Linked DNA regions of Oreochromis niloticus. The protein of the gene in region 2 binds, or shares a complex with, the protein of the main gene of each other region. Links are inferred from orthologs where the notes say so. Each region holds a gene or a part of one and is shown on either strand. Other genes may lie near its edges.

The links.
Region 1: the proteins of prkaa1 (region 2) and prkag1 are in contact, whole or in part, in a crystal structure (PDB 6C9H), measured with the Homo sapiens proteins. The link is inferred for Oreochromis niloticus from reciprocal best matches to the Homo sapiens genes PRKAA1 and PRKAG1. Residues at the interface, in NP_006242.5 of Homo sapiens: Ser295, Ser296, Thr297, Met298, Ile299, Asp301, Glu302, Lys305, Arg342, Glu347, Ala348, Phe351, Tyr352, Leu353, Arg369, His371, Pro372, Glu373, Pro376, Phe377, Asn449, Val451, Thr452, Thr536, Pro537, Arg538, Gly540, Ser541, His542, Thr543; in NP_002724.1 of Homo sapiens: His36, Asp40, Leu41, Ile42, Pro43, Thr44, Ser45, Val50, Leu64, Val65, Gly68, Val69, Arg70, Trp75, Ser77, Lys78, Lys79, Gln80, Phe82, Pro158, Glu159, Ser160, Gly161, Asn162, Lys170, Arg171, Lys174, Phe175, Leu178, Phe179.

The regions. Positions count from the first base shown.
Region 1 is NC_031970.2:23,221,214-23,228,319, reverse strand, and holds the start of prkag1 (5'-AMP-activated protein kinase subunit gamma-1), read right to left. Parts: upstream 3,006-7,106; 5' UTR 2,851-3,005; coding exon 2,842-2,850; intron 1,788-2,841; coding exon 1,736-1,787; intron 1,654-1,735; coding exon 1,553-1,653; intron 1,472-1,552; coding exon 1,390-1,471; intron 1,306-1,389; coding exon 1,247-1,305; intron 1,082-1,246; coding exon 1,036-1,081; intron 949-1,035; coding exon 894-948; intron 1-893. Other genes in the region: rhebl1 (ras homolog, mTORC1 binding like 1), read right to left, coding at 6,449-6,541, 6,658-6,739, 6,912-6,959, 7,072-7,106. UniProt on the Homo sapiens protein: AMP/ATP-binding subunit of AMP-activated protein kinase (AMPK), an energy sensor protein kinase that plays a key role in regulating cellular energy metabolism.
Region 2 is NC_031972.2:15,614,708-15,621,664, forward strand, and holds the start of prkaa1 (5'-AMP-activated protein kinase catalytic subunit alpha-1), read left to right. Parts: upstream 1-3,908; 5' UTR 3,909-3,923; coding exon 3,924-4,020; intron 4,021-5,849; coding exon 5,850-5,991; intron 5,992-6,957. UniProt on the Homo sapiens protein: Catalytic subunit of AMP-activated protein kinase (AMPK), an energy sensor protein kinase that plays a key role in regulating cellular energy metabolism.

The DNA of each region.
Region 1 (7,106 bases), on a different chromosome or scaffold from region 2:
GGGTGAAAATGCCTCATTGATGCCCGAGGTCAGAGGAGAATGGCCAGACTGCCTCAACCTGATAGGAAGGTAAGAGTAACTCAAACAAACACTTTCTGCATACAAACCAAGGTATGCAGAAGAAAATCCCTGAACACACAACACACTGAACCTTAAAGCAGAAAGCATTGAAAACATCTGGAGCATCAAGAGATGAAAAATATAACAAAGAAGATCCACGACTGCTGAACAGCTAGAATCCAATATCAGACAAGAATGAGACAACATTCCTCTTCTAAAAGTCCAGCAGCTTGTCTCCTCTGTTTCCAAACTGTTGTGAAAATGAGAGGCAATGATGCAACAATGCTGTTATTTAGCCCTTTAAACCACTAATCGTGTGTTTTACTGTGAATCTCAGCTCATCACCACTTGCCCTATTTTTTGTTGTTGTTGGTTTTTTGGGGGGTGGAGGGGGGTTGTTTTTTTACTTTACTTTTTAGTTATTTGATTTGTATGTGAGTGTGGTGTTTATTTGATTATTTGTGCAAAATATGAATACAAAGAAGAAAAAACACACTTAAAAAAAAAAAAAGAGGACGCTACACATAGCCCTGATATGGCCCTGTCCCAACATTTGAGACGTGTTGTTGACATCAAATTCAAAATTATTGTGGGTGGGTTTGCCATGTTTGGCAAACACACATTGCATTCTGATTTTATTTAGATTTCAACACAGGATCCCAAGGTTTGGGGGAATCGAGGTTGTATACTCTAGCCTTTCCTAATTTCCCAATAGTATATCTATGCAAAGTGGTTCTGGTCAACAAACTAACATCCAAAGGGACTTTTCAGAGTTTAATATTATAGTGCAAATAAGCATTCACAAACTTAACATAGCACATTCTGTTACTTACCTTGCATTAGGAGATATGCTAACCAGGGGCTTGAAAGAGTCTTGAAGGTACACCTCTATTGGAAATAAGAAAAGACAAATATGAACTTTCCCTTTAAGATATTACAAGTACATTATGTTACATATTAATAAAGGATTTTCACCTCTCCAGGTTTCAATTTTGTGCTCTTCCAACTCATATATCTGAACCTGAAAATTTATCATAAGTGAATGGAGGGATCAAGTAATGCAGAAAGGAAGAGAAAGTGCATGTTTGACCAAAAATAAGGTAAAATATACATAACTAAAACAACCTTGGATGGAGTTTAAGTTTGAGATTTAATTGGTTACATCTATTCCGTGTCTACATCTTACCAATGGAGATTTGTAATAGCGATGAAGAATGTTAATGAAGTCTGTGATGGTTAGCATACCTGCAGAGCAGAAACAGGAGTCCATTATTATTCAACTTTTTTTTACTTTTTAGTGAAACAGAGCCAAATGGAAGTTACTCTTACCAACGAAACACTGCTTCTTGCTATCCCATAAAGGCGCAGCACGCACCCCGTTAGAAACAAGAGCAAAGAATGCCTTTTTCACCTGAGGATGAATTGCACAACAGATTAAAGCTATACTAGATCATGAAAAATATATGTATTTAATTTAAGGCTTTTGTTTTACCTGAAGTGATGTATCAAACACAACTAATTTGGAGCTGGTGGGCACAAGGTCATAACAACGATGGGACTTCATAAACCTGGTGTACACATTGTGTTCTGGATCTACAGAAATGAGACTCAGCTGTCACCATTTTCTATAAATAACTGTTTCCCAGCATGACAGACTGTATTGCAAGCCCCTTACCTTCAATGACTGGGTCCTTCTTGCCCTCAAGATCATCAATAGTTACTGGAATCTGAAAGATAACGTTTATATCACCAAATGAAGTGATATTTTTTTTGGTTGCGTTCTATTTATTATATCACGCCAATATTGCACTGACTACAACACTTTATATTGTACATTTTAATATATACATTTTTTTTGACACAAAAGGGATACATCCATACAAAGCATTTCTAGAAATAACCTGATATTTCTAGAAATGGTTATTTCTAGAAACATGGTTGTGTTTATGTAAAATTTCGCAACCTGATATATTTGGTAAGATAACAATGTGGGAGTGGATGTTTTTGACATGCACGGCAAAGGCAGATCTGAAGTTTATTGTTTCTTTTAAAGAACCTTATCGTGGCTGATGTCGGAAAAAAAGTTTAGCCCGTGAGAAGTACAGCCCAAGGAGGCCTCTGATAAACATGTATTCACTGGAAGTGTCACTGGAAGTGTCACTGACAGGTCCGCCGTTTCCAGAGGAGTGATGAAAACCACTAAAATGTGAACGGTTTCATTGTTTATGACTTGACTCTGAGACGTGAGTAACTGTACTTTAACACCGAGCCATAGACTGCACTTGAGCAGCTGGTTAAACATCAAACAGTATAACTTTGCAGTCAAATAAGATCCGCTGTAATTGGTGAGATCATTTAGTGATTTCTGGGTGTCAAAAAAGACTCGGTTACACTGACAAGTAACGAAACTTTGGAAAATAAATACTATAACAGAAAGGTTAGCGGAGTATTTCCTAGCCTGTCAGTCAGTTGACATTACTGAGCCTGTCGAGGTGACTTTCTATTTACGCTAAGGCTCTTAAGCTGCGTCATTATGTCGTGTATTGTTATATTTTAGTGGTAATTGTACACAGGTACCGGGACTGATAATTATATGCGTTTTCCTGACAACTGACTAAGCGCAATAATAAGCGGGTTGGCCCCAACAACCACTCCACCAAGAATTTGCTCGCTAGCTAGCTTGTACCGTTAGCGTGCTTCAAAAAGTCGGGTAAGTTCATTTGGTTTAAACGTGAGAAAGCGGGCGTAAAACCACACTGTATATACAAGCTACTAACTTACACACTCCATGTTCCATTCGCTGGTTCTCCTCCCTGTAGCCGGTTTCGTGTGCAGCTCTCCAAACCTCGAAGGTCTTCCGCTAACTAACTAACAACGATCAGCATGAATGGTTGTGCTGTCTCTGCCGTAATTGCCGTAATATTGCCGCACTCCAGGGATGTCATTTTAGCTCTGAAGCAGGTAGCGCTCAGGAGTAAAGAATTTGTGGTTTGTTTTATTATTCTGTAATTAAGGGAGCGTTTAGGAGTTCTGTGGAATATTACTTTGAAGGAAAACTGAAAAATCCCCCAACTATTTACATTTACTCTGTTGTCTTGGAACTCTTGCATTCAGATGCTACATCTATGTATAATAAAGTGTGGTTGAACAAAAAAAAGTTAACGCTTAAGAAAATCTTTTGTAGTGCTTTTTTGCTCAGACAACTTCTTAATAAGGGGGTATATTCAGTATATTGTATCGATAAGGTATATTCAGGTATATACAGTAATATGTGGGACTCAGCCACTATTGAGCAGTATGAAGATGGGAAATAGGTAAATATTGAAAAAACTGGCTGAGAAAATACTGGGCATGAGTCTTTTCAGTTTCATGTCCAGTATTTTCTGGGCAGAGCAGAATAATTAGAAGCAGCATAACCTCTAACATATAACAATAATACTATATAATAAAAGAAGAAAGTACACTATACACGTCACAAGCATCTCTCTCTCTCTCTCTCTCTCTCTCTCTCTCTCTCTCTCACTCACACACACACACACACACACGTGTGTGTGTGTGTGTGTGTGTGTGTTTCATTGTGTAGCGGTTGAATGTTAATATGAGTGGAGATGGAGTCTTGGCCATTGCACAGACTGGTTGAAAATTACTGCACATTGTGATTTATCAGTCCCCACTGTGTGCTTGTCTATGTACACATGTGGTCTGCTGCTGTTGTTCATTGTAGAGTCTGACAGCAGCTGAAAGGAAATACAGATAATACAGATAGTATTGCATTGTGCAATGCACAAGAGTTGTAAAATATTTTACATCTGATAACTGTTTTGCAGAGCAGTAGAAGCATCTCCCATTATGAATATTATCAGAAACAGTACCACCAGTATCTCTTTTATAAGGCAAAAACATTGTGACTTAATTGCAGTTTTTGGAAAAATACAATTTTGCTTTGACTCAAATATAATGCCAGTACTAACTACCAGTACCATTTATTTTCAAATAATGTAAATATGCCTCTTTTACAGGACAATGAAAACCCAAATCACACCTCTAACTTTCTAAAAAAGAAAAAAACTTTACTACACTGAACTAAATAAATTTCCTTACTTCCTTCTCTTAGTATTTTCCACAGTGATTTACTTGTTCTTCCTCATTAATAGCTGAACTTTTATCTGGTGAGACTTGTGCACTGTATCTGCATCATCTGTATCACATAAACAAAGAACTACACACAACTTAGCTTTATTATTATTTGTGATTTTTTTTAAAAGAAAGTATGTCAATATGAATATTTAACATGATCTCAAAACTGAAAAAGAATCCCTTTTTATGCATTTATTTTAAGTAGCTTTGGGAATCACTATAGAACAACGAAAAAAACCCCAATTTGAATCATCTGCTAACAGCAACATTTTTTCATCACATATATCACCAATATAATCAATATTCACAATATAAGGATGCTCCAATATATTGGTATCTGCATATAATTGTCCTGTTGACCGTCATCAGCCTGTTAAATAATACTAGATGGACTGATGTCAGCAGTTATGGTTTTTCTATTGAGTAACATCAAATTTGAATGGGTAAAGTACTCAAATCTTGTAGTAAAGGGCAATAAAAACTTACATGTTTAAAAAATATTAATTTTTTTCCTTGTACAAAAAGTTGATTTAATAAAACTAATTTCACAAGCTAAGTTCCAAAAAGATGGCAAAATCATCAGACACATCAGATGAGTAACAGATTTATTTATATACAAAACTGTTTACAGCAAGATTTCTGAATCAACATTGACCCATAGGGAAATATTGGTGTTCAGGTGTACAACACCTGCACCCAAGGTGTCAAGTTAACAGACAGAAGGGGGGAAAAATACTTTTAAGAGCACCTTGAGTCATGAAAGGAAGCAGATGAGGGAGTTTGAACAACAGTAAGGCACAAGACACAGCATCACCAGCTTCTGTTCAACCATCATCATCAATCTGCAGCTATTCATTCAGCACAGCACTTGATAAAAAGTTACAATTAACCACTAAAGGTACAACATCGGGATTATGGGGAGAAACTCCACAGTTTGTCATGTATTCATAAGGCTACAGATTCTATGTGGAAAAACAAAAAAAACACATCATCATTAAGGATCTCAAGTATCTGAATGCGACCATGCAAGTCCACAGTTTGAATTGAGCGGACTGCATACCATACTGACTTGGCTTTATCGAACCCACAGGAACCATCAAATCAAAACCACCAGATCAAAAAAATAATGATAATAAATTCTAAGCTAACTCAGGCATTTTGCCACTTAACCTTACACAATGTTAAAAAGTATTTAAAAAAAAAAAACCCTCAATGTTCATAATTGACAATGCACATATATGCATAAACTCTACTTAGGATATTTAAGAGAGCAAAACTGCATCACTCAAGAGATAACCAATGATACCAAAAACCAATTCCTAAGATGAAATTTTTATTTATTTATTTTTTTTTAAAAAAGGCCATAAGTGGTAAATAGCAAAGATCTACTCAAATCTATCCTAAATCTCTCTGAGTGCTGTCCATAACATCTTTATTACAGTTAATCAGAAATTAAAATGTAGAAACGATGACAGTCTGTTTATCAGAACCTAAGATGTGAGTTGTCAAATATTTCAATATATAACAGACTTCTCTTGTCATAAAGACACAGCTCCACAGTTCATTAGTGAAAGGTACCTGAAGATGAGGAGACAAAGTTATTACAGTGAGGACTGTGAAACCACAGTGGGATATCTAATGTACAATGTCAGTATAGGCTATCCAAGGAAACCCACCATTTGTAAAAAACAATGACACTTTAACACCACATTTAAAGCAATGTGAACTGCGACTCTGCATCGATGCCAAAAAGGACCAGCTGAAGTAATACACCAGTCCTCGGAAAGACCATGAACCAGCCATCACTGGAGAGTAATAAGGCATATGCCAGTGATTTCTCAAAGATTAGGGGGAAAATGATGCAATCAACATGAAGCAACAAATCTGAATGTCTAATTTTGTTTTCCGAGGATTTTGTTCAACTCAAAAAAAAAAACAAAAAAACAAAACAAAAACAAAAAATATCAAGATTATGCCCAGACGTAGCTTACATTTCAATATTGGAAGGTGGTGTTCATCGAAGATGCTGCTTTGTTTAAAACAGAGTTTAATCCTTATCTTAGAAACTTCTCTGTCTCAGTTTCTCAACTGTCTGAGCAGTTGCTTTGCTATGTAAATTAATCTAACATCACAATGGAGCAGAAAAGTTCCACCGCCGTGTCTTGGTGTCGGTGAGGTCACGATTGGCAAGCTGGTGAAGTTGTGCCTCCTGTCTTCAGTAAGTTAGCTTACTGATGTGTTGGATACACTTTCACATCACAATGCACTTCTTCTCCTCTGGGGGAGCATTGCCATCAGCTTTCTCCATCTCCAAAATGATCCGCTTGAAAACCTCCACAGCAGTCTGCATTGCAAGAATGTTGCCATTAGAGTGTGAATGTTCTCAGAAATTAATGTGGACTCGGCTAGCATTCAGAGCTAGCATTCAGAGTTAGCATTCAATAAGGTATTTCTCACTACCTCGTTTTCCTTGGCAGAGGACTCCATGAATGCAGCACCCCAGGAATCAGCAAGTTTTTTTCCCTCCTCTGGCTTGATAACCCTGAAAGGAAAAAAAACAAGCAAAAAAACAAAAACAAACAAAAATAAATAAATAAATATTCGATTTTTTTTTACTTGAACTGCTAAAAAAAAAAACAAAACCCAAAAGGTGCTATTGGTACAGTTACCATTCTACTAAGACATATTTTTACACTTTCCGAAATCTGGATTACCTTTCCATATGGAGATCTTTTTTGTTCCCTACAAGAACAGTTGGGACCCTAAAAAGACAAAAACCTGAATGTATTAAACATAACTTAAAGGAAAAAAAAGAAAAGGAAAACAAAAGACAACATAGAAAATACTGAAATTTAAAGAACCAGCTAAACTTACTGAATCTTCCCAACCATGTCTAGCAGTTTATCATG
Region 2 (6,957 bases):
ATTCACTTTCCTTGTTAGGTGGGAGAGCAGCTGCCTGCGTGCGGAACAGAGTAGAGGATAATGAGCAATACTTTAACAAGCATGCAAACAGGCGGGCCCAGTAGGATTATAATAAGCCTGTCTGTAATTAAAATGATAACCACTGTTGCATGTAATAAACTGTCAGGAGCTTATGGTAGCATAGTGGAGGAAGATGAATTTGCTGGCACTGCTTGGTTTCTCTTTAAAGACACCGATCCGCAGGCCCATATTCGGTCTTCAACAACAAAACTATTTTTTGCCACTTTTTGTTGCACGCCATAATTCATTCTGCCTTAGCCGTGCGTTTATGAGATTTAGGGGACTGCAGGGCAGCATATAGCAGCGTATTCGTCATCTGTCTCCTTACCAGATCCTGCACAGACATCGCCATCTATTGGACAGTCGAAGTTATGGCATGGTTTCTCTCCTTTATTGGTAAAAACGAAATGTAAAAGTGAAACGTGAAAAATAAAAAGGGGATAACTGGTGGTATAAAAGCAAAGTCACATAAAGGCTGTAATGAACCAATAGACTGTCACTAAGTAAACATTCATAGAAATACACTTATGAAAATAGAAACATTCAGCTTTTGGGAAACTTGGTTAGCTGCTCTGCTTTCTTAGTACTTTTCCCGCTGGAACCACATTATAAATCTGACATGTTGTTCAAGTATTGTTATTAATTCAATAACAACTTTTTTTTTTTTTTTTGCATTTAGCATCTGCGGTTCCTTGCCGTCTCTGGTTGATCCCTTTAATTGTCACGTGGACACGTAAGCCACTTTGGCATATGACATAACTAACTACACAACTAAATGTGTTTATTGTATATATGTCTTTTTCATTAAGCTGCCACAATCATCTGGATGACATTTAAGTTTGCTATGGTGTGAACTGTGACTAGAGCCCCAACGATTTATCATCAGACTGATATTTTCAGTCGATATTATCTATTATCATCTAGCATTTATAATGACTTTATAATGAAATATTAAAAAGTGAAGAAGAGACGGGAGAAACACTCTTCAACCATGTTATGGATGTTGGTGTTTTACACTTTATGTCCAGCAGAGGGCACTCTGCAACTTCTCTGTTGACAACTCACCTTTGGATCGTTACAAATACAACCAGCTGATCAGAACAGAGTGGGGCCTAGATTAAAGAAGTAAAGAAATCCCTAGACATAACAAATATTTGGGCTATTTATGTATGTGCCAGAAAGAAAAACAAATATGGACTGATATATCAGGATATTGGATTTTTTTTAATTCTCAAATAGTGATGTCTTAAAAATGTTATATGAGCCAGGCTCTAACTGTAACCCATGACTTGCTTAGTGGATGCAAACAAACAAAAATACTACAATAAGATATGAAGCAATACTTATACAATACTGACAACAATATTATAATACAATATTGTACTAACAATACAATACTGTTCCTGCAGTTGGTGTCTTCAGGAACATACTTTCATATGATGACACACACATGCAAAGATTTGTACGGTTAAAAAAACCAAAACAAACATGGCCATTTTACCCTTCTTAGTGCCCCTCAGATACAGTGCTGTTTGTGTCCGACAACCAGTAGTATATAGCTGTCATGATTAAATACTTCTGTACTTTTGGTGAGCTTCAAGTGATAATATATCATATTTATCATATTATTACTTGTTTTCAGTACTGCAAACCCTTAGCCTTCTCTCAATGAGCTTCATGATGCAGTCACCTGAATTGGATTTCACTTCACAGGTGTGCCTTGTCAGGGTTCATTTGTGGGATTTCTTGCCTTCTTAATGGGGTTGGGACCATCAGTTGTGTTGTGTTGGTTCATAGCCCTATTTGACAACTGTTAAAATTCATATTATGGCAACAACCAATCAAAAACATATAATATAATCCTTTTAATATAATGTTTTACTTTGTAATTATGTAACAAAATTACACGAATTTTTTTTTACATGTAATCAAATTACTTTAAATCATCATTTTGGGTATAAATATTATCTTGAGTGCAGTACTTCTGGGTTGTATACTGAGTTCTCTGTGTGCTAAGAAGCTCAATCAAATACCTGTTATGTGTACTGTAGTGAACCAGATCCCTACGTACTGAGACTCAGACTGCATACAAAGTACAACATTCACACTTGCAAAAATACACTAAGTGTCACTGACAGGACTTTTGGTACTCACTGTTAATTCCTACCAGAATTCTCAAGGGAGTCATGGTAACTGTTCACCATGCCTTTCTTTTTTTGAAATAATCACTGACTGAACAAAACCTGTATTTTTCAGTCTGTACTTAAGAAAAATAATAATTAAAAAAGGCAGTGAAAGATTTTTAAGATCTTTGAGGTTCATTGTTCCATGCTTTAAACATGAGCCTTGACACTCCTTAGAACCATAATCTGTGTGGTCATGCATTAGTGTCAGTGAGGAGTTTTTCTCCTCCTGACTAGTTCATTGATATTCCCTGCATGTCTGTAAGGATTTTTCATGCTTCAGGTCTTGACATACAGTAGGAGTGGTTCTTTACAAAGTTCACGGAGTTTTGTAGACAGACTACACAGCAAGGTCAAACTGTCTTTTTTTCTCTCTTGCTGGATACGTTTGCATATTAAATGTACCATATTTTAACAAGTATTTCAAAGACTTTTTACTCCATAAAATTAATAATTACAATTGCTGTGAAATCTGGTTCCCATGAATATTGTGCACATCTTTCTGTTTCTAGACAGTTGAGTGTCCTTTCTTCTTGTAACCTACCATATTTACCTTTGAAACTTTTCAATATTTTTAACAGTTAACAATAAGTGCAACAAATACAGAAGGGTGGGATGATGGAAAAATATATATCCACCTCATAAACAAGAGCCTAAAACCACAACTATGAACTGGATTTGCCATGTTGCAGAACTGAATAGTATAGGGGAAAGAATGGTGCATTATATACTTACTCCAACACAATCGAGCCATATTTACTGATCTTCAGGCTATGACTCATTTCAACGTGATTTTCCAGCATAAATTATGGACCAGGAGTCATATTTCAGCAGAGTTTGCTGATTCATTCGCCACATTGAGCTTTCTGCTTCCAAACAGTGCTGTGCACTATCTACATTAAAATGCTCCTTCACTTGTACACTGTGCCTTAAGTATAAACCTACAAAACCTGATTTTGTCACCAGGCAACAGAAATCTGCGCATACAATAAGCCTGTCTAATTTGCCCTTGCTGAAGCGGCATTTAATGTAATTTGGATAGTTTGGACTGGAGTGCAGCTTTTGTTTATATACTTTTTATGAAGTTAACAAGGCATTGGAAATATATTTGAGACGATTATGAGAATGGATTCTTATGAAACATAGTTCACTGTATTAATGTATTTCATGCTGTATGAACTATGTAACTCCCTTTATATAATCCTGATGGTATTTTGTCAGTTCTTAAAATCTTTTTATGTTGTATTTAGACAGATAAAAATAGGGCCCCAATAAGGGAGCAGCCAAAAATCCTTTTTTCATATTGGCAGAAAACTGCTGACTTTATCCAGAGTTTCCATAGTATTTGATTGGGCACATCATAATTTATCTATCTCATATATGTCTAACGCACATTTTCTCTCCTTTCACTTCCTGACCCTGATTTAGCCTATACGATAGATTTTCCGGCCAAAACAAGTTTACAACGTGAACTTCACCCAGATTAACAATTTCGGAGTTTATTGAGAGCATTTAAATGCAACATGTTACGTCGTTGACGATTTTGACGAATCGCACAGGAGCCGGGACGCCTCCCACCCTCAGTGTTGAGCGGAGCCGCTAGAGTGGAGAAACACATAGCGGAGTCCGGTCCATCTCTACCGCAGCTAGCTAACCCCGCAGCAAGGCCATTGCGGGAAGATGGCGACGGAAAAAGCGAAGCATGAAGGAAGAGTGAAAATTGGACATTACATTCTTGGAGACACTCTCGGAGTGGGGACGTTTGGGAAGGTTAAAGGTATGTGTAACTGTCTCAGGCGTTTATGCATCCTGCCAGCTGCGAGACGGTGGGAGAGGGAGCTTTTAGCTTAGCTGCTAAGCTAGCATACTAGGAAAGCTAACTTGTCGCAGTGCTGGGGAGGCAACACACTTGTTGTCGCGCTATTATCAGAACTTTTTTTGTGTGTGACAAAACGCAGGTTTTAGAGCGTGTCGTTGTCGTTTCTAAGATAAACAAGACACTGGAAGTTTTATGAAATTGGCCTGTAGCTGGTCACGTAGTTTGCCATTTAGCGTCGGTTGCGTTGCGTGCTAGCGAGCGAAGCGCTTGTTGAGACATACACCGGGAAGTCAGCCCTCTTCATTGATGTTGCCGCTAGCAAGAGTACATTTTAATCGGTAAAGTACGGTTTCCTCTCTCTTGCCTTTAAACCCAACTCTGCACTACATTCATTCACAACTTCTTTTCCCATGAGTCGTATTTGTCGCCTGTTTCAAGCATTCAGTGTTAATTCTGAAGTTTAGATGGAGAGAGTTGGACAAACTCTGCTGAATCTACGCCCACTTTGTCAGTGCAGAGGGCTGAACGCTTAGAAGCTTAAGTCAATATACAACTATCAACACGCAATAGACTAAAAAAACCTGTTTTTTTTCCTGAAAAGTAATCGTGTCTGCGCGTTGCTTGTTTTGTTTACCTTACAGGCTGTTCTGTTCAGTAGAAACACTGAAACCACAATATATATCGAAATGGAGTGGAACCACCACAAGCTGTGTGATCGGTTAATTCCCAATGAGTCATCTCCCAGCTCTCAGCTATTTGTTGATGTTGAGGGAAAAGAGCTGGAGTTGGTGCTGTGTGATTATGGTCTTGATTACTACCGACACAGCTGGTAAATCAAAACCAGCTGTTTGCTAACTCCCATGGGCAAATGCGCTGTCTTCCCACCGTCCATTCAGATGTTATCTTTTTGTTTCTGGTGCGGCTTCTTACCGCTTTCAGTTATGAGGACTCTGTATTTGACCTATTTGCTCATGTATTGACTGTGTATCCCCACTCACCTTTACAGATCATTTAGCATGTGCTAGGATTTCTTTCTCTTTTTTTTTTTTTGTGGGTGACTTAATGTATTTACATTAGGTCACCCACATTAAGTCACTTTCAGCTAGAGACTTTATAAAGTAGAGATGTGGCGTTCAAAGACTCTTGAATTTAAACAGCAGATGAAGTAAGGCTTTGGTTAGCTTTGACTGATGTTTCGTAAGTATGTGCCCAATAGGTGCTGGAAGGTGTTTCAACATTGTGCATGGCAAGATTTGCTTCAAGGACTTTCGTTTCAGCATTAGATTTATCACACTCAGTAGGCAGCCAGTTTCAGCAAAAAACAAAAACAAGAGAGCTGTTTTACAGTCTTTCCATAATACCAAATGACAAAGCTATGCTGTGATATGCCTGAGTGATTGAATATGGTTGACTGAATACAAAATACTTTTTTTTTTCCATCCTTCCATTTTTTTTTTCCTTTAATTTGAATGCTTTTATTTTTTATATTGTTAAAATTGTGATAGGAAGTGGTGATTTAGATCTGCCATTCCTCACACTGACTTCACGATATTGGTCCTATTGCTGCTGTCCTTCATCCACCATGCTGCCTTCTGTTTCCAAAATAGGTTTCACCTCTAAGATTCGTAGCATGTCCGGTAACCTTTATCCTAATAGTGTAAACAACAAATTACACATTTCCTTAAGTTGCGTGAAGATGACTTGTTTTGCATAATACGTCATCCTTCCCTATTTTATATGGCCTTGGTTGTAATAGAATTGCTCCATCCACTCTTTTTTTCCTTCAGTGGGCCAACATGAGCTGACCAAGCATCAAGTGGCAGTGAAGATCTTGAACAGACAGAAGATCCGCAGTTTGGACGTGGTGGGAAAGATTCGCCGGGAGATCCAGAACCTCAAGCTTTTCAGGCACCCTCACATAATTAAACTGTAAGTCCTAGATTACACTCTGCTCACTGCTCCATAATCCCCTTGCCACTACATTAATGCCACCCACTGAGCTATTTTCAGGCTTTTATAGTGTTGTTTTAGAATACATCCATCTAGGACAGTATCTGTCTGACTCAGTCCACTCTCTCTTCTGACCTCTCCCTGTTGTGCAGTATTGACTGTTTAGTTATTCCCTCAGTTGGTCTTTCATTTTAATGTACAAAAGTGCACTGGCTTTGTCTTTATTGTGGCTAGCTGTGTAGCTTGCTCTGCTGGTATTACTGTCAACATCTGTCAGGCTAGAGCAGATAAGTGTGTCATTTCAAATGAGTAATTTTTTAACATCATAGTCTGAGCTGACTGTCCCATAATGTTCTGGTCCTCTAAGCTAAACTTGCTATCTGACAGTTGTCAGGGGATTTCCTGTTTGGTAAGGGAATGTTCACAGACTCAAGGCCACAGTTACAGGGTCATTAAACTGACCGGGGGTGTGTATAATTGCCTGAAATACCCGTTCCATGTTAAGCATGCACAAAAATGTAAGCTATGTCTGTGTGTGTCTACGCATGAGAGAGTGATTCCATCTTTGGCAGGGTACACAGACCACTGGGGCAAAGTACATAACATTGTCTGTCTAGCGGGGATAATAACAACTCGAGTAATATAACATAATACTGCTTCATTTTTATTGATGGGATGTTTTCTGCAGTTGCAACACATCAGGTTCACAGTTAGTGAACATCTCTAACATCTGCTGAGCTACAGACTGCATGGCAGACATTACTGCCTTTGTGTTTTATCCACCATGGTAGGGCACGCTTACAAAAGCGCTGAATGTTTTCTTAAAATATCTTCACACTGTCACGTTGTCAATGCATTTTTTTTGGTTGTCTGTATTTAAAACCTGTGAAATCTGAGCTGTAGAGGCTGCATACAATGTGGTTTCTGGGACTTGCTATCAATAAT